Saccharomyces cerevisiae S288C: one gene and its partner. The protein of the gene in region 2 interacts with the protein of the main gene of each other region in a pairwise test. Each region holds a gene or a part of one and is shown on either strand. Other genes may lie near its edges.

What was found.
Region 1: the proteins of YPQ2 (region 2) and PMC1 interact in a protein complementation assay, tested with the Saccharomyces cerevisiae proteins (2 studies listed by BioGRID).

The regions. Positions count from the first base shown.
Region 1 is NC_001139.9:481,803-492,414, reverse strand, and holds PMC1 (calcium-transporting ATPase PMC1), read right to left. Parts: upstream 6,495-10,612; coding exon 2,973-6,494; downstream 1-2,972. Other genes in the region: RPN14 (Rpn14p), read left to right, coding at 459-1,712; Golgi transport complex subunit COG7, read left to right, coding at 1,868-2,707; YGL006W-A (uncharacterized protein), read right to left, coding at 6,882-6,992; BRP1 (Brp1p), read right to left, coding at 8,778-9,155; YGL007C-A (uncharacterized protein), read left to right, coding at 9,388-9,474; H(+)-exporting P2-type ATPase PMA1, read left to right, coding at 9,749-10,612. UniProt on the Saccharomyces cerevisiae protein: This magnesium-dependent enzyme catalyzes the hydrolysis of ATP coupled with the transport of calcium. Transports the calcium to the vacuole and participates in the control of the cytosolic free calcium.
Region 2 is NC_001136.10:1,172,003-1,184,977, forward strand, and holds YPQ2 (Ypq2p), read left to right. Parts: upstream 1-9,798; coding exon 9,799-10,752; downstream 10,753-12,975. Other genes in the region: YPS7 (putative aspartic endopeptidase), read right to left, coding at 384-2,174; ATP22 (Atp22p), read right to left, coding at 4,118-6,172; SBE2 (Sbe2p), read left to right, coding at 6,664-9,258; thioredoxin-disulfide reductase TRR1, read left to right, coding at 11,297-12,256; TRP4 (anthranilate phosphoribosyltransferase), read left to right, coding at 12,745-12,975. UniProt on the Saccharomyces cerevisiae protein: Amino acid transporter that moves arginine across the vacuolar membrane. Active during nitrogen starvation when it exports stored vacuolar arginine to the cytosol, for use as a nitrogen source.

The DNA of each region.
Region 1 (10,612 bases), on a different chromosome or scaffold from region 2:
TATATCTGATGGTGTTGTTGCGAATGCCCAGTAGTTCATATAGTTCTACTTACACCTCACTCATCTAACAAGGTCGGTTGATTAGTTCAATTGTTTCAGTGAGAAGATTTTAACGATAACACTTATGTACTAAGGTAACGTACCTACCAAGCATACAAAATACGTAACAATATAAAAAGAGACGGTTAATAAGTTCCGTTAAAATTTCGTCATCCAGTTATTAGAAAACTGGATGGAACCTTTTTCTTGCACATTAAAAATGGCATTTGTCCTTGTCAGGATTTGGGAATAAGGCTCAGTTAACCTTATTAACTTTTGTGATGTTTTTAACATGACATATTACAGGCGTCAGGATGGGCGAATAATCTAGAAATCGGCAAAAGAAGCTTCGAAAAATTAAGTTTTCAACCCTAAGAGCAGAAAGTAAAAAGAAATAGCGAAGTACAATAGAAACGACAATGACTAAGACCATCACAGTTGCTCATATCCAGTATGATTTTAAAGCTGTTCTGGAAGAAAATGATGAAAATGACGATGAATTTTACATCAATGTTGACAAAAACCTAAATGAAATCAAGGAGCATAAGATAGTAGTGTTAGGAAATAGCAGGGGTGTAGATGCAGGCAAAGGAAATACATTTGAAAAGGTTGGCTCCCACTTATACAAGGCGCGGTTGGATGGACATGATTTTTTATTCAATACTATCATAAGAGATGGTTCAAAGATGCTCAAGAGGGCGGATTATACTGCCGTAGACACAGCTAAACTTCAGATGAGACGGTTCATATTAGGCACTACAGAAGGCGATATTAAAGTATTGGATTCAAATTTCAACCTTCAAAGAGAAATTGACCAAGCTCACGTTAGTGAAATAACAAAACTAAAGTTTTTTCCAAGCGGTGAAGCTTTGATATCTAGTTCACAGGATATGCAATTAAAGATCTGGTCAGTAAAAGACGGCTCAAATCCTCGCACGTTAATTGGACACAGGGCGACAGTCACAGATATTGCCATAATAGACCGAGGAAGGAATGTGCTCTCTGCCTCTTTGGATGGTACAATTCGCCTTTGGGAGTGCGGCACAGGAACGACAATTCACACGTTTAACAGAAAAGAAAACCCGCATGATGGTGTTAACAGCATAGCGCTGTTCGTAGGGACAGACAGACAATTACATGAAATTTCTACTTCCAAGAAAAATAATCTAGAGTTTGGAACATATGGAAAATATGTGATTGCTGGTCACGTTTCTGGTGTTATTACTGTACATAATGTATTTTCCAAAGAGCAAACTATTCAACTCCCAAGCAAGTTCACATGTTCATGTAATTCATTGACAGTCGATGGCAATAATGCAAACTATATTTATGCCGGATATGAAAATGGAATGCTAGCTCAATGGGATCTAAGATCACCGGAATGCCCAGTTGGTGAGTTTTTAATTAATGAAGGCACCCCAATAAACAATGTCTACTTTGCAGCCGGAGCCTTATTTGTATCTTCTGGATTCGACACCAGTATTAAGCTTGACATTATTTCAGACCCAGAAAGTGAACGGCCCGCTATTGAATTTGAGACGCCCACCTTTTTAGTTTCCAATGACGATGAGGTCAGCCAATTCTGTTACGTTTCTGATGATGAATCAAATGGGGAGGTGCTTGAAGTTGGAAAAAACAACTTCTGCGCTTTGTATAACTTAAGTAATCCTTAACCTCTTTCGTACTAGTAACTTTTTCAAAAAAGTTCACTTCGCTGCATGAGCTTGGCGTAATGCGCTTTGAGGGTGATAATGCATTTTATTTCCATATGAAATATGTCTAAAATAGAACAATTCACTAAGAACAAGAAGGCCAAACTAAGCAGAATATGGTAGAGTTGACAATTACGGGTGATGATGATGATATATTGAGTATGTTTTTTGATGAGGAGTTCGTTCCCCATGCATTCGTTGATATACTCTTATCAAATGCCTTAAACGAAGATCAGATTCAAACGCAATCAGTATCCTCATTGCTATTAACCAGGTTGGATTTTTACACAAAGAACCTTACAAAAGAGTTGGAAAGCACCATATGGAATTTGGATAAATTATCTCAAACGTTACCAAGAACTTGGGCATCTTCTAGGTATCACAAAGAAGCAGAACAGAACGATTCCTCATTGTATTCTACTGAATCCTTAAAATCATCGAAGCTTGAATATTACTTAGATACGTTGGCAAGTGCTGTAAGAGCATTAGAAACAGGAATGCATAATGTAACTGAGAAACTAAGCGATCTAGATAACGAAAATAATCGCAATACCAATGTGAGGCAACAACTGCAAAGTTTAATGTTGATTAAGGAGAGAATTGAAAAAGTGGTATATTACCTGGAACAAGTTAGGACCGTTACGAATATTTCGACAGTTAGAGAAAATAATACAACCAGCACGGGGACAGATCTTTCGATAACAGATTTTAGAACATCATTGAAAGCATTAGAGGATACAATCGATGAATCTTTAAGCTCTGCGATTGATAACGAGGCTAAAGATGAAACAAACAAGGATTTGATTGGGAGAATTGATTCACTTTCTGAACTGAAATGTCTGTTTAAAGGCCTAGATAAGTTCTTTGCTGAGTATAGCAACTTTTCGGAGAGCATAAAATCAAAAGCACAAAGTTATTTATCAACCAAGAATATTGACGATGGTATGATATCATAATCGGTGATAAAAACAAAAAATTTGCAATTAACAAAAGAAATTTATAGCATGTTTAAATTCTTATTTCTTTTTACCATTTCCAGTCCTTTTGGTCCACTTGTAATGCATAAAAGGGTAAAAAGGAATTTGTTTAGGAGGACATGCTATTTCAGATAGTTTCTTTTTATTGATTATATAATATAGTGTACAATTTTGAAAATATAACTATTACACACATCTTTTCATTTGGTCACTTACATTTGTATAAACATATAGAGCGCGTCTATTAATAAAAGGCGGTGGACTCTGGACTATCAGATTCCTCCAACAGCGCTTCTTCATCGTCGTGTTTTCCAGTATGGTTTTTTCTGAGGAACTCGAGTCCAAATACGTACTTGAATCTTTGAACGAAAGCAGCCGGAAATACCTTCACTGCTACTTCATCGGGGCAGATTCTCACTAGCACCCCCATGATTAGAGACAACATACCACACAGTACCGCGGTTATCCACATTGATTTGGTTTGTCTGGCAATAGAAAATGGTGCGCCACCAAAAAACATGATTAAAACTTGACAGCTGCCAATGATCGCCATGATCGTGAGAAAATAATAGTTTCTACCCAAGTCTTGGAAGAAATTCAAATTGGCGGCAGAAATCCTGCCTCTCCAGTTTGATATACCATCACCTTCATCTAATTTTCTCGATACTAACATGGTAAAAAATTGCAACCAAACAAAAGTGTTGAATGTCATGGCATTCAGTTGCTGCTGTTGGTGACTTGTTATTTCATCTTCATGTTTCTTGAAGAATAACTCTGGCCCGTAAAAATGCAAAATGAAAGTAACTATCAACTGCAATGTAGCTTGTGATAGAATCATTTTCCAAGTTGACACAGAAATCAAAGAAGTTGAGCGGCCCCTAGGTTTTCTGTCCATGATATTTGGATCGGGTTTATCAGTGGCTAAAGCTAAAGCTGCTAGAGTATCCATGATTAGATTGATCCATAACAGTTGGACCGCCGTCAGTACTGATGTTTCATCACTAGATGCAACGGATGAAACGAACGTTAAAATCACTGCGGTGATATTAACAATTAATTGAAACTGTATGAACTTTTTTATGGAGACTGAAACACATCTTCCCCACTTAATAGCGTTGACAATAGCTGAGAAATCATCAGTCATCAAAATAATGTCAGAAGCCTCTCTGGCAACCTCCGTACCGGAAATACCCATTGAGAAACCAACATCAGCTAGCTTTAAAGCTGGAGCATCGTTCGTACCATCGCCAGTGACCGCAACAACATCTCCCATCCCCTTCAATGTTTCTACTAATAACCTTTTATCCTCAGGCGAAGACCTTGCTAAGACCCTTAAATTTGGCAGGATTCTTATACGTTCGTTTTTCGTTAACTTTCTGAATTCAGTGCCTTCCATTGCAGAATAAGCCTCTGAACTAATATCAGTAGAAAGAATCGCACAATTCCTCGCGATTGCTTTTGCTGTTAATATATTGTCACCAGTAACCATACGCACAGTTACACCAGCACGTTGGCACTGTTGTACTGACTCCCTAACGCCTGCACGTAAAGGGTCTTGAATCCCAAGTAAACCATCTAGAATTAAGCCCTTTTGACTGTTAAATAGCAAGTCAAGAGCAGCTATATTTGGTGAGTCTTTATCACGCAGCTGTTCAGGGGGCCAGCTATCACATTCGCAGAAATCTTTGTGGGCAACACTTATGGCTCTGAGAGCATCGGACGCAAGATTTTTGATTTCATCATCAGTTTCTTTTTTATTGTCCTCATTGATTTCTTCCAAAGTATCATCTGAATTCCTCTTGTACGAACAATTCTTGGAAACAATTTCTGCTGCACCTTTAATGAAAAACCTGTAAAATGGTTTTTTATTTTTGCCTTCTTTGTACTTTACCACTAAGCCGGCCCATTTACGAGAACTTTCAAACGGAATTGTTTGAACAACTTTTTCGATATTAAACTTTTCCATCGGTTGATCTCTCAAATATTGCAATTCTCCCGGTTGTAATCCTAATGATAATCTTGCCAAACTGAGTAAGGCTGTTTCCGTTTTAGAGCCAATAAAGGGTTCTTGCCTACCCTTGTTGACATTTTTGAATAATTGATCCTCGTCATCTTCCCTGTTGCCTTTTTTAAAAAACGATAATCTAGATTTACACTTATCTAAAAAACTCAAATTTTTTGACATATTTTTACTACCATTTGTATTTTTATCGTTTTTCTTATAATCTCTGTTTTCGAAGGCGGTAGAATTCAGGACAATATTGGCTAATAAATCATTTCTCAAGGATGACGAACAATTTTCTTCAAAAACTTTCTTAGAATTCAGCTTCCTTTGTTCGCTAACGGGCAACGATTTACTATCATCAAATTTAGAATTGCCCGGGAAGCCACGAACGACAGTCATGACATTTTCTGTCAAAGTGCCAGTCTTATCAGAGCACACTGCAGTAGCAGATCCCATCGTTTCACAGCTTCTTAAAACCCGTACTAAATTACCGTCTTTTGTCATTCTTGTTGTTGCAAACGCTAAGGCCAAAGTTACAGCTAATGGTAAACCTTCCGGAACAGCCACCACAATAACCGTGATAGATGTGATAAAAATGTTCATAAATTTAGAACCCTTTTGAGCGGGATCTAGATCATGGAACCTGCCATCCTCAGGTATTATGTAAAATAAGTACCTAGTGAAAAGGACCAAGAAAAGAATTATAGCAGACACGCAACCGTAAACGGATATATTATCAGCCAATTGGCTCAAATGTAACTGTAATGGAGTACTTTCAGGTTCGGCATTTAATGAAGTCATGGTTTGACCGTAAACTGAGTTTATACCCACGGACGTGATGACACCCCTGCCCAAGCCAGAGAGAATTCTGGAACCTGAAATCAACATACAATCAGCAATCTTGTTACCGTCTTCGTTAACGTCACCTATATCTAATGGTTTGCTATGGTTATGACTATCGATAGAATTAAATTTTTTGAAATCTCTTAATGAGTTATCCACCGGAAATTTCTGTATTGTGTTAGATTCACCAGTGATGGATGATTCATCTGCCTCACACTTCCCTGATATCATAACACAATCAGCGGGGACAACATCACCGGTTTGTAATGAAATGACATCACCGACTAAAACGTGGTGAATGGAAATTAATATTTCCTGATCATTTCTTATGACTATAATTTTACGGTTTTCCTTCTTTTTATTTAGCTTTGCAAATTGCAACTCCTTCTGGTAATCGTTAGCGGCACTCACTAGAACTACCACAAAGACCGCAATCATGATAGCAACCCCTTCAATCCAGTCAACTTGCTTAATTTTATTTCCTTCAGGATCATACTGTGGAGGTTGCATCCATAGTTCGTATAGACCTAAAACAAAGGAAACAACAGCGGCGACTGTCAGTAATTGCATTGTTTTGTCATTAAAAGCAGCCCATACTAATTGTAAAAAAGACTTTGGTATTCTTTCAGGAAGTGAATTATCGCCATAATTTTTATACCGGTTTGTCTTTCGATAATTTGATATTTCTGGAAGAGAAATGCCTGCATTTTTATCTGTTTTCAAGTATTTGAAGAGGCTGTTAGACTCATATCCAAATAATCTGACAAATGATCTTATTGATTTAGGGTTATGAAGATCCGAAAGTTGACTTTTTGATAATTTGAAATTATCGTAGACTCCGTTCTCATTTCCCGTATACGATGGTTTGTTATTTTCATTATTCGCTAGTAAAGCAGAATTTTCGTCTTGTCTAGACATTATTTTTTTTGTTACGCACACAGTTTTTTTTTTTTTAGAACCACTTTTCTAAACTTTATTTGTTCAAGTTTTATTTCTTTAATTCAATGTCGTATATATGTGATACAATTCTCTTAATACACTTAGTTTTTACTGGAGGCGCATGAGTTTTTTGACGTTTTCTTAAGCCTTTCTATTGAATGAAAATTACCAGAAAAGCCCCTTCTTCCTCAAATTTATGAAAAAATGTTTATTCTTAACCTAAGCCTTCTCAATTGAATCGTGCCAACCTGACTAAAATGTAGTTTGGGGAAGTGAAAAAATCTGAAGAGATTATTTAATTTTTCGTTAAGCCTGCAATTTATTTTGGTAATAATTGCTAGAAAGAAATCGAATATTTAACGCAATTCAAATAAAGCCTTTCCTTGGGGGGGGGCTGATACTATTTGAATGTTTTTGGAAGGCGCCCATTAAATGCAATGCCAAGTGGCGATGATAATGAATTATGAAGATTAGCATTTGTTTAAAAAGCGTGGAGGGCGCTTCTAGGGCCTGAGCCTCCTAATTTTCTTTTCCCCCTGACAAATGATGGAGAAGCTTCTTTGCCGGGTAAAAACCCTTTTTTTTTATCTTTTCTGCGGGCGGATAAAGCTGTTAGTGCCACATGTTTCTATACAAACTGTATTAAAGTAAAAAAATTAATAGACAATTTAGGCCCCTCAAATGGGTAAAATAGAACATATATCAGTATGCACAGCTCACTATTTTAAAAGCGGCAGGCTTGGAGCTGTAGGACCACACTACTGCGACAAAAAAAGATAAAGTTGTGTTTTATTTATGTTTTGCCGTAAGATCGATACTTTTCTTATTCTCATCAAGAAAACACAAACTGCCAAGAACTAAGAAAAGAAGAGCCGTAAACAATGCTTGTAAACCGAAGTATGAAAAGAAAAACTTGATAATTAAATCATCCCCTTTGGCTCAAATATTTATTTTGTATTATTCATGCTTGATTAGTTTAAGAGTGAACTTTACTATCTTAATTTTATTTTAGCCTTTTCAGCTTATGGCACAATAGTGAAAACAAGATCATGTTAAGTTCTGTACCAGAAGAGAGAACCGATAAATAGTTTAATAAGCAGATCAATGCCAAGAATAAGATAAAACAACTATGGAGACTGATGTAAATATACTTGAAGCCGGGCAATAATATAAGCACCGTGAGCCGATTCTCCTCGATCCTACACTGCACCATATAACGAATGGTCTTGGACTATGGAAGGCAGTAACCAACAACAGAAAAGAGAGATTAATTAGAAAAAGACATTTCTCGAGAGAAAAAAAGTAAAGACCTTATCGTACAACTGTTACTGACATTTTTATTTTAAGAAGCTAAACCCTTATTATTAGCGCGCCCAAGTAGGCGCAAAACTAGAGAAGTCGCAGATGCATCCACCCACTTTTTGCCTTATTTTTCCTTAATTTCAGAAATATAGTTAAAATGAAAAACAAGGACAAGAAAAGAACGGGAAAAAGAAAAGGGGGATTAGCAAACAAAGAAAAGTCCAATAAAATGATTACAGACAGCATTGGATGCGATGAGATGGCAACCAGCGAGATGAGAGCATAGGATTTTCATCCTAGCTGCTTTAGGGAAGACGCACAAAACTTTGTTATGTTTGTAGTAAATATAGAAAAGAAAACAAAAAAGTGCTCGGACGAATCCGGTAGAGCTGTGTCTAGCCTCAATAAGTTTGCCGCATTTGGTAAATCAAAACTGTTTTTCTCTCCGTCATTTGTTTTGAAGCTTGTTCTGTTAGTTTAGGGAAATAGAAAAAAAAAAAAAGGGAAAAAGAAAGAAATCATATGCCCAATGGAGTACGAGAATTGGGGAAAAAGCCTCCATCGGGTTTTTAAACGGGCGTATACATGCTTACCACACTCCCGTAAGCAAGAACAAAGAATTTATCTTGATAAACTGCGTAATAAGTCAATCAATTGCTCTATATACGCGCATATACGTAAAACACAGAATCACATTTTAGTCAGGCCCAAGCCGTATAGGGCGAAAAAGCCCGCGCTTATCAAGTCATCGTAACGAATCAGATCTTTCCAACTGCTATCGCATACGTAAGAGAATTGAAATATTTCTCGGGTACGATACGACATTTTTTCTTTACATTTCTTTACTAAACCCGACGGCACGGGAAAGAAGATGAGACTCGGAACGGAAGCTAGAAGAAAAAGGAAGGACACAGAGATTTTCCGAGATTAACTCAGCTTTGCTAAAGTGCAAAAAGTCGTTTACGTCACCATCGCTGACGGGGAAAAAACAAAACAAGCTTCCTGAAACGGAGAAACATAAACAGGCATTGCTGGGATCACCCATACATCACTCTGTTTTGCCTGACCTTTTCCGGTAATTTGAAAACAAACCCGGTCTCGAAGCGGAGATCCGGCGATAATTACCGCAGAAATAAACCCATACACGAGACGTAGAACCAGCCGCACATGGCCGGAGAAACTCCTGCGAGAATTTCGTAAACTCGCGCGCATTGCATCTGTATTTCCTAATGCGGCACTTCCAGGCCTCGAGACCTCTGACATGCTTTTGACAGGAATAGACATTTTCAGAATGTTATCCATATGCCTTTCGGGTTTTTTTCCTTCCTTTTCCATCATGAAAAATCTCTCGAGACCGTTTATCCATTGCTTTTTTGTTGTCTTTTTCCCTCGTTCACAGAAAGTCTGAAGAAGCTATAGTAGAACTATGAGCTTTTTTTGTTTCTGTTTTCCTTTTTTTTTTTTTTACCTCTGTGGAAATTGTTACTCTCACACTCTTTAGTTCGTTTGTTTGTTTTGTTTATTCCAATTATGACCGGTGACGAAACGTGGTCGATGGTGGGTACCGCTTATGCTCCCCTCCATTAGTTTCGATTATATAAAAAGGCCAAATATTGTATTATTTTCAAATGTCCTATCATTATCGTCTAACATCTAATTTCTCTTAAATTTTTTCTCTTTCTTTCCTATAACACCAATAGTGAAAATCTTTTTTTCTTCTATATCTACAAAAACTTTTTTTTTCTATCAACCTCGTTGATAAATTTTTTCTTTAACAATCGTTAATAATTAATTAATTGGAAAATAACCATTTTTTCTCTCTTTTATACACACATTCAAAAGAAAGAAAAAAAATATACCCCAGCTAGTTAAAGAAAATCATTGAAAAGAATAAGAAGATAAGAAAGATTTAATTATCAAACAATATCAATATGACTGATACATCATCCTCTTCATCATCCTCTTCAGCATCTTCTGTTTCAGCTCATCAGCCAACTCAAGAAAAGCCTGCTAAGACTTACGATGACGCTGCATCTGAATCTTCTGACGATGACGATATCGATGCTTTAATCGAAGAACTACAATCTAATCACGGTGTCGACGACGAAGACAGTGATAACGATGGTCCAGTTGCCGCCGGTGAAGCTAGACCAGTTCCAGAAGAATATTTACAAACTGACCCATCTTACGGTTTAACTTCCGATGAAGTTTTGAAAAGAAGAAAGAAGTACGGTTTGAATCAAATGGCTGACGAAAAAGAATCTTTAGTCGTTAAGTTCGTTATGTTTTTCGTCGGTCCAATTCAATTCGTTATGGAAGCCGCTGCTATTTTGGCTGCCGGTTTGTCCGATTGGGTCGATTTCGGTGTTATCTGTGGTTTGTTAATGTTAAACGCTGGTGTTGGTTTCGTTCAAGAATTCCAAGCTGGTTCTATTGTCGATGAATTGAAAAAGACTTTGGCTAACACTGCTGTTGTTATCAGAGACGGTCAATTGGTTGAAATTCCAGCCAACGAAGTCGTCCCAGGTGATATTTTGCAATTGGAAGATGGTACTGTTATCCCAACTGATGGTCGTATTGTCACTGAAGACTGTTTCTTGCAAATCGATCAATCTGCTATTACTGGTGAATCTTTGGCTGTCGACAAACATTACGGTGACCAAACTTTCTCTTCTTCCACTGTTAAGAGAGGTGAAGGTTTCATGGTTGTTACCGCTACCGGTGACAACACTTTCGTTGGTAGAGCTGCTGCTTTGGTTAACAAAGCCGCTGGTGGTCAAGGTCATTTCACTGAA
Region 2 (12,975 bases):
AAGAGCGAGGTAGATCGGATATATTTCGGATTCTACACACTATAAAATACAAATTAGAAATTTTACAGAGTTACCTCCCAAGAAAGAGTATCTTCATTTTCTAGTGAATAACCTATCGCCAGTCACCATGATCTGCTGTTGAACCAACCTCGAGGCGGGAAAAAAAACAAAAAAAAAAGTAACGCGATTTACGCTCCGTGCACGACGATTCTTTGAGATGGCTGCCAATGGTTGATCACAAGTACTAGCTTCTACACAACTGGATAAGAATGACGCATATATACTTTTAAGTATGTTGTTATTAAATCTGCTATATAATGATGTTATACGTGCATTGGTCAAGGAGAAAAAGGTTTTATGTTATGAACTTTTGTTAAAACCATTCAAAGAACAATAAGTATCGAGAATATCGAAAGTAGTAGCAAGGAAGCTATACGAGTTACATGTCCAGCTGGATCTTTGTTAAATGTATAAGGACTGCTCAATCGAACGCCTGCTCCCGAAGCACTGCTGGTTCTATTAGTTGAATTTGACCACTCTTCTGAGGCTGACACAGAAAAGCTGTCGAATTGAGTACTGGATGGTCTAGCACTTGTGCTTGCTCTTGAAGTATCATAGAATGACCGGCCCGCACCTGTAATCACACCGTTTGAGTATGCTGCTGTCAGTTGACCTGGGACAGTGAACATATAGCCTGACCTATAGGATGGATAAAGAGTCAAGTTTCTTGTATTACTACTATTCATCACTTTTGCGTAAGGAATGTAACCAGATTTGATCTTCTTGATGATAGTGGACGCGGTAGTTTCATTTGTCTCTTCAGTAACTGCGTCATCTTCAACCTTCTTTGCCTGTGCAATGGCTATAGTGTTATCCTCTAAGTCCATTGCCATATATATATTTTTTATGAAGGCTTCTCCGAGTATGTTTACTCCAGTATTTGTATTAGCGTATAGTGTTAGAAAACAAGCTTCCTGTCCAGAACTGAAAAACATTGAAGAATTGGTGGATGTATCGTAAGTAGATGATAATAAATCACGTAGGGGTATTTCAATTGTCAATTCTCGAAGCCTGAAACCCAAGGAGACACCCATATCTGCTATAGAACATTGGACTAGCCACCTATCTAGTGATTCCACATAAGTGGCCGCAATTTGAACGGCAATCTGAATAATGGTACTAGTTGGCAGGTAACTGACCGAAGAAGTTGAATCAAGTAAGGCTGGGCTCAGAAAGTCCTTCGAAGTCATATTCAAACTTTGTCCGCTGTTAGACACAATATAAATAGGGCCTAATGGCACAATTGGGTACCCAACACTAACAGCATTACTCACTGGGTCAACGTAAGGAATTAAGTCAAATTTTCCCAGTGTACCGGTAAACAGCGAAGGATCCACCCCTCCAAGAAGTAGCTTCCCACAATTAGATATTGGATCTCTATATGTTTTGTACGTGGAAGTGTCTCCAGCCAACCACAGTGAATATGACGAACTTTCAATGATATCTGCATCTTTCAATAAGGATAGAAAATAAGACTGTTCTGTGTATTGTGAGCTATCGATAGCATTGCCTGGGTTTGTGACCTTCCCGCTTAAACCTAACAAGCCTGAAGTCTTAAAGTTCGAGGACTGAATATCAAAGAAGGAAACGTTTGAAATGGATAGGCTCCCCGAGTTAAATTGTACGTTATCTCGAGTTACCATTAAATCGGTTATCAAAGCGGTCGAGGAATTTTCTGAGGAAACATTTGTAAAATTCATATCGTCTGTCACCAAAGTACAGTTAACAGCTCTACCATCAATGAAAGAAATCTCATATATTTGGCCAGGAGAAACAGGAACAGATGATGTAGAGTCATTCATGAGGTAGCTGGGATGCTTATGATATACACCGGAGTATTCGTTATGACTTTCGCTTGTTCCGGAAACCAGATTTATGTACGGTTGGATAATATCCACTAGCAAACGTTGGCGTTGACCGGGAGTGCCAAATGTGCTATTAACATAGTAGTTTCCTCTACCATCTTTACCCACGGCTAGTACAGGAAACGGCTCCTCCGTTGACGAAGAGGTTCCAGACTTTGCTGTAGTTGTTGTATTTGCAGTACTAGCCGTTGCAAACTCTAACTGAAAAGTTGATATGAGCCACAGATACCATAAAATTAGGCATGTCATAGCAAAAATCAACGGCAAATAAAGCAAGCACGCAGTTACGATACGTTCAAAGATCTTTCCAAGTTCTGTATCCTTCTAGAACGATTAGTCTAATGCAACTGATATGTCCAACATTCTAAATATAACTTATTTTGGTATTAGCTGCATCATTCTACCATGATGAGCTGCGGCGTTCAATATCTCATTTTTTTTTGTTCGGGGTAACGAGGTTCATTGTTGCAAATAGCACGACCAAACGAGCGGTATGATACAAAGCACTGCAAGTCATAGCTGAGGTAAAAAAAAAAAGAATGAAGATCTCATTGTTTGGGTTAAATTACTTTCAAGAGCCTCTTTTTTAGGCTCGGTTGGTTAAAAGAGCAAGAACCGAAACACTAGTGCATCAATTTTTATAACAATTTTGTAATTATGTTGATAATTGGCAGTAAAGTTACAAAATACACACTAATTAAAATATTGAACACTTACAATATAAAGCTGATATCAAAATAAATATCGAACAATAAATACAACTCTCTCCAATATCAATATACTGCCGTCGTTATTTAAAAAATTAGCCCACCTGGGAACATTATAGAAAGAGATTTGTTTTTTGGTCTGGCAATGTGTCATAATCAAGCTCTTTGCAATATACATCCCCAACTCATATATTTGTATACAGGAAGAAGAATCGACCACCATCTATCGACTAGCATATTATCATATACGGTGTAAAAAGATGACATAAAAGATGAGAAACAGGGTAATCCCAACAATTGTCTCAATATTTACCTATTTCTCACATTGTCACCGCTCGAAAGTGCATTTTATATACGTTCTTTTGTGACGACTACTTTTGGCGGGAATCTTAGCGCCTTAAATGCAGTGAAAGATTACTCTTTTGAGTTATTGCCTGAATTTTGTCTGCAAAATTGTTATTATTCAGGAATTTAGAATAATTCAACTCTGGAGGCCTGCGCTGTACTACGGGCTCAAGTAATACCGGAGTGTCTCGACAATCCTAATATAAACAGTCTTAGGGAAGTAACCAGTTGTCAAAACGGTTTATCAGATTAATTCACGGAATGTTACTTATCCTATATATTATATAAAATATGGATCATACTAAATGGTGGAAGCGCGGAACCTTGGATCTAAACTGTTGGAATAAGAATCCACTATCGTCTATCAACTAATAGTTGTACTATCAATATATTATCATATACGGTGTTAAGATGATGACATAAGTTATGAGAAGCTGTCATCGAAGTTAGAGGAAGCTGAAGTGCAAGGATTGATAATGTAATAGGATAATGAAACATATAAAACGGAATGAGGAATAATCGTAATATTAGTATGTAGAAATATAGATTCCATTTAGAGGATTCCAATATCATCGAGGAGAACTTCTAGTATATTCTGTACACCTAATATTATAGCCTTTATCAACAATGGAATCCCAACAAGTCTCTCAAAATACACCCATTTCTCATAAACCAATTGTTCAGGCATTTATACGTTTAGATAGCCCAGCTATAGAAGGCGGAGTTTTACCTCATGTTGCTCAATCTGTTCGTTTTCTTAGGTTTCATATGTGTTCTATGAACGTTCAGGATAATGTATTGTCATGCTGACGTATCCCATTCTGAGATGTAACGTCTGTACAAAACAAAGCTTCAGTAGCTCAGTAGGAAGAGCGTCAGTCTCATAATCTGAAGGTCGAGAGTTCGAACCTCCCCTGGAGCATTTTTGCCGAGCACGGTACTTTTTTTTATTCTCAGTAAATGAAATCCAAGGGCTCATTTATTTGAGAAAGTAAATAAGGTATTAGAGGTAATAAAGTAACCATGGGCCAAGAAGACATATTCATAAACTTATGAAAAAACTTTGTAGGTATTAATAACTTATGGGTAAATTACTATCTATGAATGAATATTTACTATTTACTAGTGCTCATCTGGATATTAATTTAGACTTTTCAACGTCTCTCTTATAATATTTGTACATTTATTAACATCATCATCATTAAATCTAGGCTTGCCATCTTCTTCGAACATATCTTCGTCAGTAAACAGGGTGCTATCAGTAGGTTCTTTAATGTTATTATTTTCCACCAATTCCGTCAGTAAAGTTTCGTCAAAGTTTTTGGGAAACGGCCAGCCTTGGTCTTTTATTATCTGTATCAAAGCCATATGCCTGATTTCAAAGCCCCCGAAGAGTATCTTATTGTACCAGGAGCGTGCTCCTTTTTCGTCTCTCATTTTGACATAATGCATTACCATTGCAGAACAAAATTTAAACGTTAAAGGCACCCCATTTTTATGCATCACCTGTAGCAATTCTGATAGTTCAGCCTGCGTTAATGTATGATTTTTATAGGCTACTATGGAAAAGGGACATAGCGTGGTAGTTAAAACCACTTTTTTGGCGAAAGGTTGAGAATAAAAATCCAGAAGAACATTGTAGGCCAGCCTTGGTTCACGAGCTTGGAATCTAATATAATTTAGGAAAACATTGAGGATTCCGGTATCATTTCTCCAATACCTGTATTTATGAGCTTCCTCGGAAAGAAAACTCTTGTACTTGTAATATAAATCAAGAAGACAATTCTTGAATTGACCACTTTCCAGTGAAACAGAACTCGAAGATAAAAGGCTTCTATACAGTTCAGTTAAAATTGGAACAGTCACTGGTGATCCTATTCGCATTGTGTTCGGTAGAATATTATTTTTGTTCTTCAGCTCTCTTGCTAACGTAGGAGCTGTCAAAGTCGTTGATTTTGAATGATAGAGCCACCCCCAAATCCCTAGGGCATTCAGAATATTAGCAGACGCCTTTGAGCTGTATGATGAGAGGAGATATTTACACACCAATTTCGGGTCACGAAAGGCTTGAAAAGATGCAATTAATTCACCCATTAAAAACTCCTTGAACAATTTATATTTCATCAGTGGGCTGCTTTGTAAGCAGGAAATTACATTGAAAAGCTCCTCCTGCCTATTAGATATTCGGAGCAGATTCAAGTAGTGGTGAATGGGAAAATTCAATATGTGTTCGTTTCCATCAATGTGATTAAGCAATCCTGAGCTTACAATGAATTTCAGTTCCTCTTGAAAGGTTTTGATGAATAACTCAACATTTCCACTTTTCAAAAGGTAATAAAGTAAGGTATTGTTGAACTTGACATAACGCAGGTTCTTTTGCTTTGCTCCATCTTTACCAGAATAACAGTGCTGTTCCAACTTCTGTAGTAGAGCTTGAATAAATACTTTAATGAACCTAAAATTTTTCGCCTTAACAAGGCCATTTACTAGAGCGATTAAGCTGTCAAATGTATGCAACTTCAGAACTTTTTCCATTATAAATTTTATGTTTGTCTCATCATGCAAAAATATTTGGAACGTGGCTAACTGCCTCTCCATCTCAGTTCCTTTTATCAGCCTATTGGTAAATCTCGTACAGTAGTTAGAAGTAAAGAGAAGAACATCACTTTTCAAAAGAAAAAGATAGTGATTAAAAGATTCTGATTTTGGAATATGATACCAGAACCATCTGTGGACCTCACCTGGTAGATAAAATCCAATTTTTCTTGCCACCTCTGGGTATAACTCGTGTTGATGCAAAATGATATCATATAAAAGTTTCTTCTTTTCATTTTCTGAGCAATTATTTATATGCAGGGCATTTCGTAGAGATTCAAAAAAAGAGGCGTATTCAGTTACTCCAAAAGTCTCACTTAATACAGTTTTCAATTGTCGGAGCTCGTATAAACGCTTCTGAACATTTTTCGAAGATCCGCTCTTCCTAGAACATGGCACCTGTCGTTCAAAATCGCCAAACTGCAAAGGTTCTGAACGATTTGATTTAATTTTCAATGGACAGTTTTTCGTAGATAAATGGCGCAGATTTGTAATAGGTAGAATTGTGTATGTCCCTGCGCTACCCATATGTTTAAACAGCGGTGAAGTGACCATTTGAGCCAAAGGCTGGGAATAGACACGGCATATACATTTTAACATGCCAATAAGAACATTAAAGTGAACGCTTGGAAGATTTGAAAGCCCATTCTTGCCAGTACGCCAATAAAGTGTGTCGCGCAGAATAGATCTTCATGTAATTCCTTTTTCCCTTTTATGCAATCTATAATGTTAATCAGCGTAGATCACTATATACGCTTTTTTTTTTTTTTTTCAGCTCCGATTAGAGAGCAAAAGAGATGTAACATCGATCCTGCTATAATTAGAATACAAGTGTTGATCTTTAATTGTACTGTTTCTGCGAAAGCTATCGAGCATTTGGCTGTATTCCACTGTCCATTGTATTTTTAACTCTCCTTTTTATCATTCTGAAACATAGAGCTGTTTTGACAAAATTCAGTTTTTTCTCAATTAGTGCTTTCATTCATACGTTCGTTACAAGCTTTGAATTTTAACTTTATTTTCGGGCTTCCACCTTTGCTTCATTATTTTACTTCAGCTCTTTAGCTTTCTGTGACATTCAATTTTATTGTATGACAGCACGTCGTTTGATTAATATAGTTCCTAATACGTCTAAGCTAGACCCTTTAAAGGAGGAGGACTCAACGCATCTGAAACAAAATCAACCTAAGAAGTTTTCCACAAAGGAGTTGATGCTTTCAGAATATACCGAACGCAAAAGTTGCAGCCTTCCGTTGTCTAAATCCCGATCAGGCAGTAGTGCATCCAGTAGCACTACAGGTTCGAACGGAAAGAATATTGGAACAAGACGCCCTAGCTCCAACCTAGATTTCAATTTCGCTAGCCAAGATGTTGTTAAAAATGTATTAGGTAATAATAATCCACACGTACCCACAGCGAAGTGCATTAGGCCAATATCAGATGATTCTATAGGTACATCGAGCACAGAGATATTTTCTTCATCGCACTCAAATACGACATCTGATTCTTTATGTACATCAGATATAAGCTCAGAAGAGGGTGAAATAGCAAACAGTAAGATGGAGGATAACTGCTTCTTCAAAAGTATGAGAGAAGCTGACCATAGAAGCAATATTACGCCCTTAAAGAAAAGCCGACCGGGATCAATACTACAGAAAACACGTACAGCAAGTAGCGCTGATAAAACAATCTGCTCAATGAGTACCATAACTACATGCATTCCATCTCGTCAAAATTCGGTGTCAACTCCTAAACTCTCCAGGACAGTAGGGCTGCCTGGATCGAGCAATACAACCAACAGTATAGCCGCATCACAAACTTCATTCATAAGCGAGAATGACTCTCCTCTTAAACATCATTGCATGAGTACCGCAACTATCCAAGAACCAAAACTCATGCCGATCACAAAAACGCCGTATGTGCATTCCAATAGTACTTCTGTAATATTACCATATAAAACAACCCAACTTACTCCTTCTCAACGTTACCGTTTAAGGAAAGAGCAAAATGACCAATCTTTGCGTAAAGCCATAAAAATGAAAGAAAAATTTTATGAAGATCAAGACGTTAACTTGGAACTTCAAGAGGGCGATGTCGACGGCTCGTTAATTTGGAACATTCCAATGGCATCTTTATCGACCAGTTCTTTTTTAACATTATCTAAGTTTAATAGAAAAGAAATGAGTTTAGATTCAGCGCGGGGGGATGAAGAGATATTAATACAGGAGAACAATTGCGAAGGCAAACAACACTCATCTTCGGCTCTCTGTGTGGACAAAACTTTCCATCAGGTTCATAGTACTAGAAAACATACATCAAATTCAAGTAACACTTTAAAAGAATCATGTCTGGACTATAAGGAGCTTCCGCCAACATGCATTCCTGGTATATCTCCTGTGTCTGATTCACAGTACATCCAGGATACAATGAAAAATCTCTCCCAAATATACCTGCATAGTTCCGAAAAAATCTCCAAAAGTATTCTTTCTGGTCGTTCAAGATCTGTACAGAGTTTACCACTGGAATTTAAAGAAGCCAGTAGTCAGGGAATGGAAGACCTAATGCTAGTTTCAGAGGACAAACTAAAGGCCGTAAGTCATTTCCGTCCGAGTTGGCTCCCGCCCAAGGATTTCAAAGAGAGGAAATTGCAAGATAAACAAATCTACAAAAATATCGACTTAGCATCAATGGAAGAGTTGCAAAAAAATAAAGAACGTGACGAAAAAGCCAAAAAGAATGAGCAGAATAAGGTCAAATTCCAGCATTTACTGGACCGAGGCATTACTCGTAACTCGTCATTAAGTGAATTAAAGAAAATTATTTGGGAAACACCTTTGATATCTAAAGTACGGCTTCAAATATATAGTCAACTTCTACAAAGTGACAATTGCTTGATAACAAAATGTTTTATTGAATCATTTGAGGAAGTAATGCAGCTACTCAACAAAATGGATTTTCCCAAAGATAAAGAATTTGAAATAAGACAGCTTATTGAACACGATGTACAGGAAAAGGTTTTTTATAAAAATGGAACAGATAAGCAAGTGGTTTCTGACTTGATGCTATTACTGCAACTGAAATCTATATCTCAACAAGGTTTGGTTACTGGTGATGAGATGCTATTCTACCATTTTTTAACTGATCAATCTTTTGGGACTTTGAAGGAAACATGGGAAATGGTCAACTTGATACAGATGACGTGCTTCAGTGAAATTTGCAAGGAAAAATACGATTCAAGAATATTAAATCCCAGAGGAATTGTTGCCCATCTTTTACGAAAAGATGAGTTCAAAAATGAATTCAATGGCGGATGTTTGAATAGCAATACATGGTGGAACATATTGCAAAGAATGGACCATAAACTTTTTATGTGGGTAATGGATGTAATTATCGTTCATAATGGCCAAAACTTTGCAAACTACCCCGTAAAAATGGAAATATTCAAAGACAAAGTATGGGAATACTATAGATCTAAGAAGGTTATTGTAAATTATAAGATTTTGGTTTCACTAACAGTTAACGTATTGTTAAACTACCACTTCGGATATGATAATCTGAAACATTTATCAGATTTGGATGATAAGCATTTTTGTATTCCACTGTATACGGAGGATAGTATCGAAGAGGAAAACCTCAATAATATTTTCACAAAGTGGTGGTTGCACTACTACCGAAAATTACGTTAGCGTGTATGTGGCACGTACTAAAAGTTTGGTGACCAGACTATCTCTTCTTAAGTTCATTTTCACTCTGAAACTTATAAATGCATACATACAGAAATTACTTTCGATTAATATAATAATATATTTTTAATAAACAATGAACTAATGCCCTTATTGTGTTTTGTTATTAACCTTTTCATCACCATTTTTTTTTGCTAGCTTCTACGGCATTCACTTACGTGCTGCAAAATTTCGCAGCATGGAAGAAATTGTTCGCGAAGAAAAAAGATTTCGCTCAGTGATTTGTAGTGACAATAGGTACCAGTGTTATCACTAAGTATATCTTTTAGTATATCTCTTCGCTTGAGGAGGGATCAAAAAAAAACAAACGTAAACGTGCACATAAACGTCAAGTACTTTTTGCAGGCATTAATATTCGTCTCCAACAAAGACAAATAAAGAAGCAATCTTTTCATTACCTTAAGCCAGTATCTATTGATATCAATCGATAAGGTTCGTTGTTATCGGTGCTAAAAATTATAAAGTGAAAATAAGAATCTTTTCATGTCGTGCTCAAACGGCATCTGGCCTACTGTATCTAATTTGTGCGGATCATTATCCTTCTTCACCTCTGTTATTTCATTGTTTCCACAAATAATTGAGACTTATCGAGATAAATCTGTCGATGGGCTATCGCCATATTTTTTGCTGGCTTGGTTATGTGGGGATATTACCTCGCTGATAGGGGCAAAGCTAACAGGGCAATTGTTATTTCAGATACTTTTAGCAATTTATTTTCTATTGAATGATTCTTTTGTATGTGGTCAATATTATTACTATGGCGTGCTGCATGAAAATAAATTGGCGACTGTCGGCCATGAGCCTAAACCTCTTCTTCCCGAACTGGTTGAAAATGGTGAGCTTTTGAGGGAGGAAGAGGACATGATACAAGGTGGTAGCAGTGCAGAAAGCCCTAGAAGCAGTAGAAGAAGGTCTGCCATTACAGCAGCCTTGGCTATAGCTCATACTATAAGTACAGCTAGCGCATATCCGCTAAATGTAGGCTCCACCCAATCACAAGTGGGGCCTCCCGGAGATGGTAAAAACAGCCAGCTGGGTACAATTTTATCTTGGATTGGCGCTTCCTTCTACGTAGGCGCACGTATCCCACAACTAATCAAGAATTACAATAGAAAGTCTACAGACGGCTTATCTCCCTTCCTATTTGCTACTACACTACTCTGCAATATCACGTATAATTTGAGCATCTTCACAAGCTGTAGATTTTTAGATAATCAGAACAAGAGGGAATTCATCGTGAATGAGTTGCCCTTTATATTTGGAAGTGCTGGAACAATTGCGTTTGATTTGATATACTTCTACCAATACTATATCCTTTATGCAACTGATATGCAACTACGTGAACTGGAAAGAGAACTATACAGTCCTGAAGAAGACAGTGCAGCGCAACTAGTGACAGAACGTACATCACTGTTGTCTGGTGAAACGCAAACATAGTTTTCCCTACGGAGTACTACCATTTATATTTAAACAATGCACTCTGCTCTTGGGATAGTCCTTGCGAGACCCTTTTTTCCCAATAGGAATACTACGTTCGTACTCTGTGTAAAAGTACCCAACTATAGTTAGCGCCAGTTTTACGTAAAACCGTCTATGTCTTGTTTGCATTCGCAACAGCTACAAACACATATAGTTTGTCACACTAATATTAATAATGAAAGTTATTATGTATTCACTGTGAACGCTTCAGTATACAGTACGGCAGTAAGTGTTTCATTCTGTTCTGGATTAATAATCTTTCACTTTGCCTAGCCATTTGGGGGCGGGTTTTGGCTGGGTTAGCTTCTCCTTAGTCATGGAGAAAAAAAATCGCCCGCAAGTATCTCGAAAAAGGAAAAAATGCCCACGCGTATAAGAGTGGACCCAACTGCTCGAGGTTTCAAGAGCTTGTAGATTAATTTCTGTAGTTCAGTTATACTTGCCTACAAGTGCTATACAGCAAATAGCGAACAGTACGAAAGTAAACATCATATTATCAATAATGGTTCACAACAAAGTTACTATCATTGGTTCAGGTCCAGCTGCACACACCGCCGCCATCTATTTGGCCAGGGCAGAAATCAAGCCAATCCTATATGAAGGTATGATGGCGAACGGTATTGCTGCCGGTGGCCAGCTAACCACCACTACAGAAATCGAAAACTTCCCAGGTTTCCCAGATGGTCTAACAGGTAGCGAACTGATGGACAGAATGAGAGAACAATCCACGAAGTTTGGCACTGAAATTATCACGGAAACAGTTTCCAAAGTTGATCTGTCTTCCAAACCATTCAAGCTATGGACCGAATTTAACGAAGACGCAGAACCTGTGACGACTGACGCTATAATCTTGGCCACAGGCGCTTCTGCTAAGAGAATGCATTTGCCGGGCGAGGAAACCTACTGGCAAAAAGGTATTTCTGCCTGTGCCGTGTGTGATGGTGCCGTCCCCATTTTCAGAAACAAGCCATTGGCCGTCATTGGTGGTGGTGACTCTGCATGTGAAGAAGCTCAGTTCTTGACCAAGTACGGCTCAAAAGTGTTTATGCTTGTCAGAAAAGACCATTTGCGTGCTTCTACCATTATGCAAAAGCGTGCTGAGAAGAACGAAAAAATTGAAATCCTTTACAACACTGTTGCGCTAGAAGCTAAGGGGGATGGTAAATTATTGAATGCCTTGAGGATTAAGAACACTAAAAAGAATGAAGAAACCGATTTGCCAGTCAGCGGTTTATTTTATGCAATTGGCCACACTCCAGCAACAAAGATTGTCGCTGGCCAAGTCGACACTGATGAAGCGGGCTACATTAAAACTGTCCCAGGCAGCTCATTAACCTCCGTTCCAGGATTTTTCGCTGCTGGTGATGTTCAGGATTCTAAATACAGACAAGCTATTACTTCTGCTGGCTCTGGTTGTATGGCCGCTTTGGATGCTGAGAAATACTTAACTTCCCTAGAATAGATGAATTTTCCATTATAAAATAGATACACTCAAATTTTTGTATACTTATCCAACAAATCGTTACTTTCTCCTTTTCTTTAATAAAAAGCAAACCATGAATTTTATTTCTTTTCCCCATTATTAGAGAAAGCCAATACATAATCTACATATATTGCGTGTCTGAATTAAACTTTTTAGACACATGACATAGGCCATCGGCTTACTTTGTAACGCGTGGTTGCCTATACACCGACTATTAAGTTATGACTAATATTATTGCTGCGCTTCCCCACCTGCATTTTTCTTGTCGTCTTTGCCAAAAGGAAAAAAAAACCTACGCAGATTGACTCTCTAAAAAATGATTCATGACCAGACAATTCAGTAAACATAAACTCTGTTGCATTCATTCTTCTGGAAAACTTTATAATAAAGCATCTGATATTACAGCTACTGACAACTAAGTGAATTTAAACTGCAATAATCACAAGAAAACTTAGTATTCCCTTATCATGTCCGAGGCGACTTTGCTATCTTACACCAAGAAATTATTGGCTTCTCCGCCGCAATTGAGTAGCACAGACCTACACGATGCGTTGCTGGTTATATTAAGTCTTTTGCAAAAATGTGATACAAATAGCGATGAGAGTCTTTCCATCTATACCAAAGTTTCGAGTTTTCTCACGGCCTTGAGAGTTACTAAACTTGATCACAAGGCTGAATACATTGCGGAAGCTGCAAAG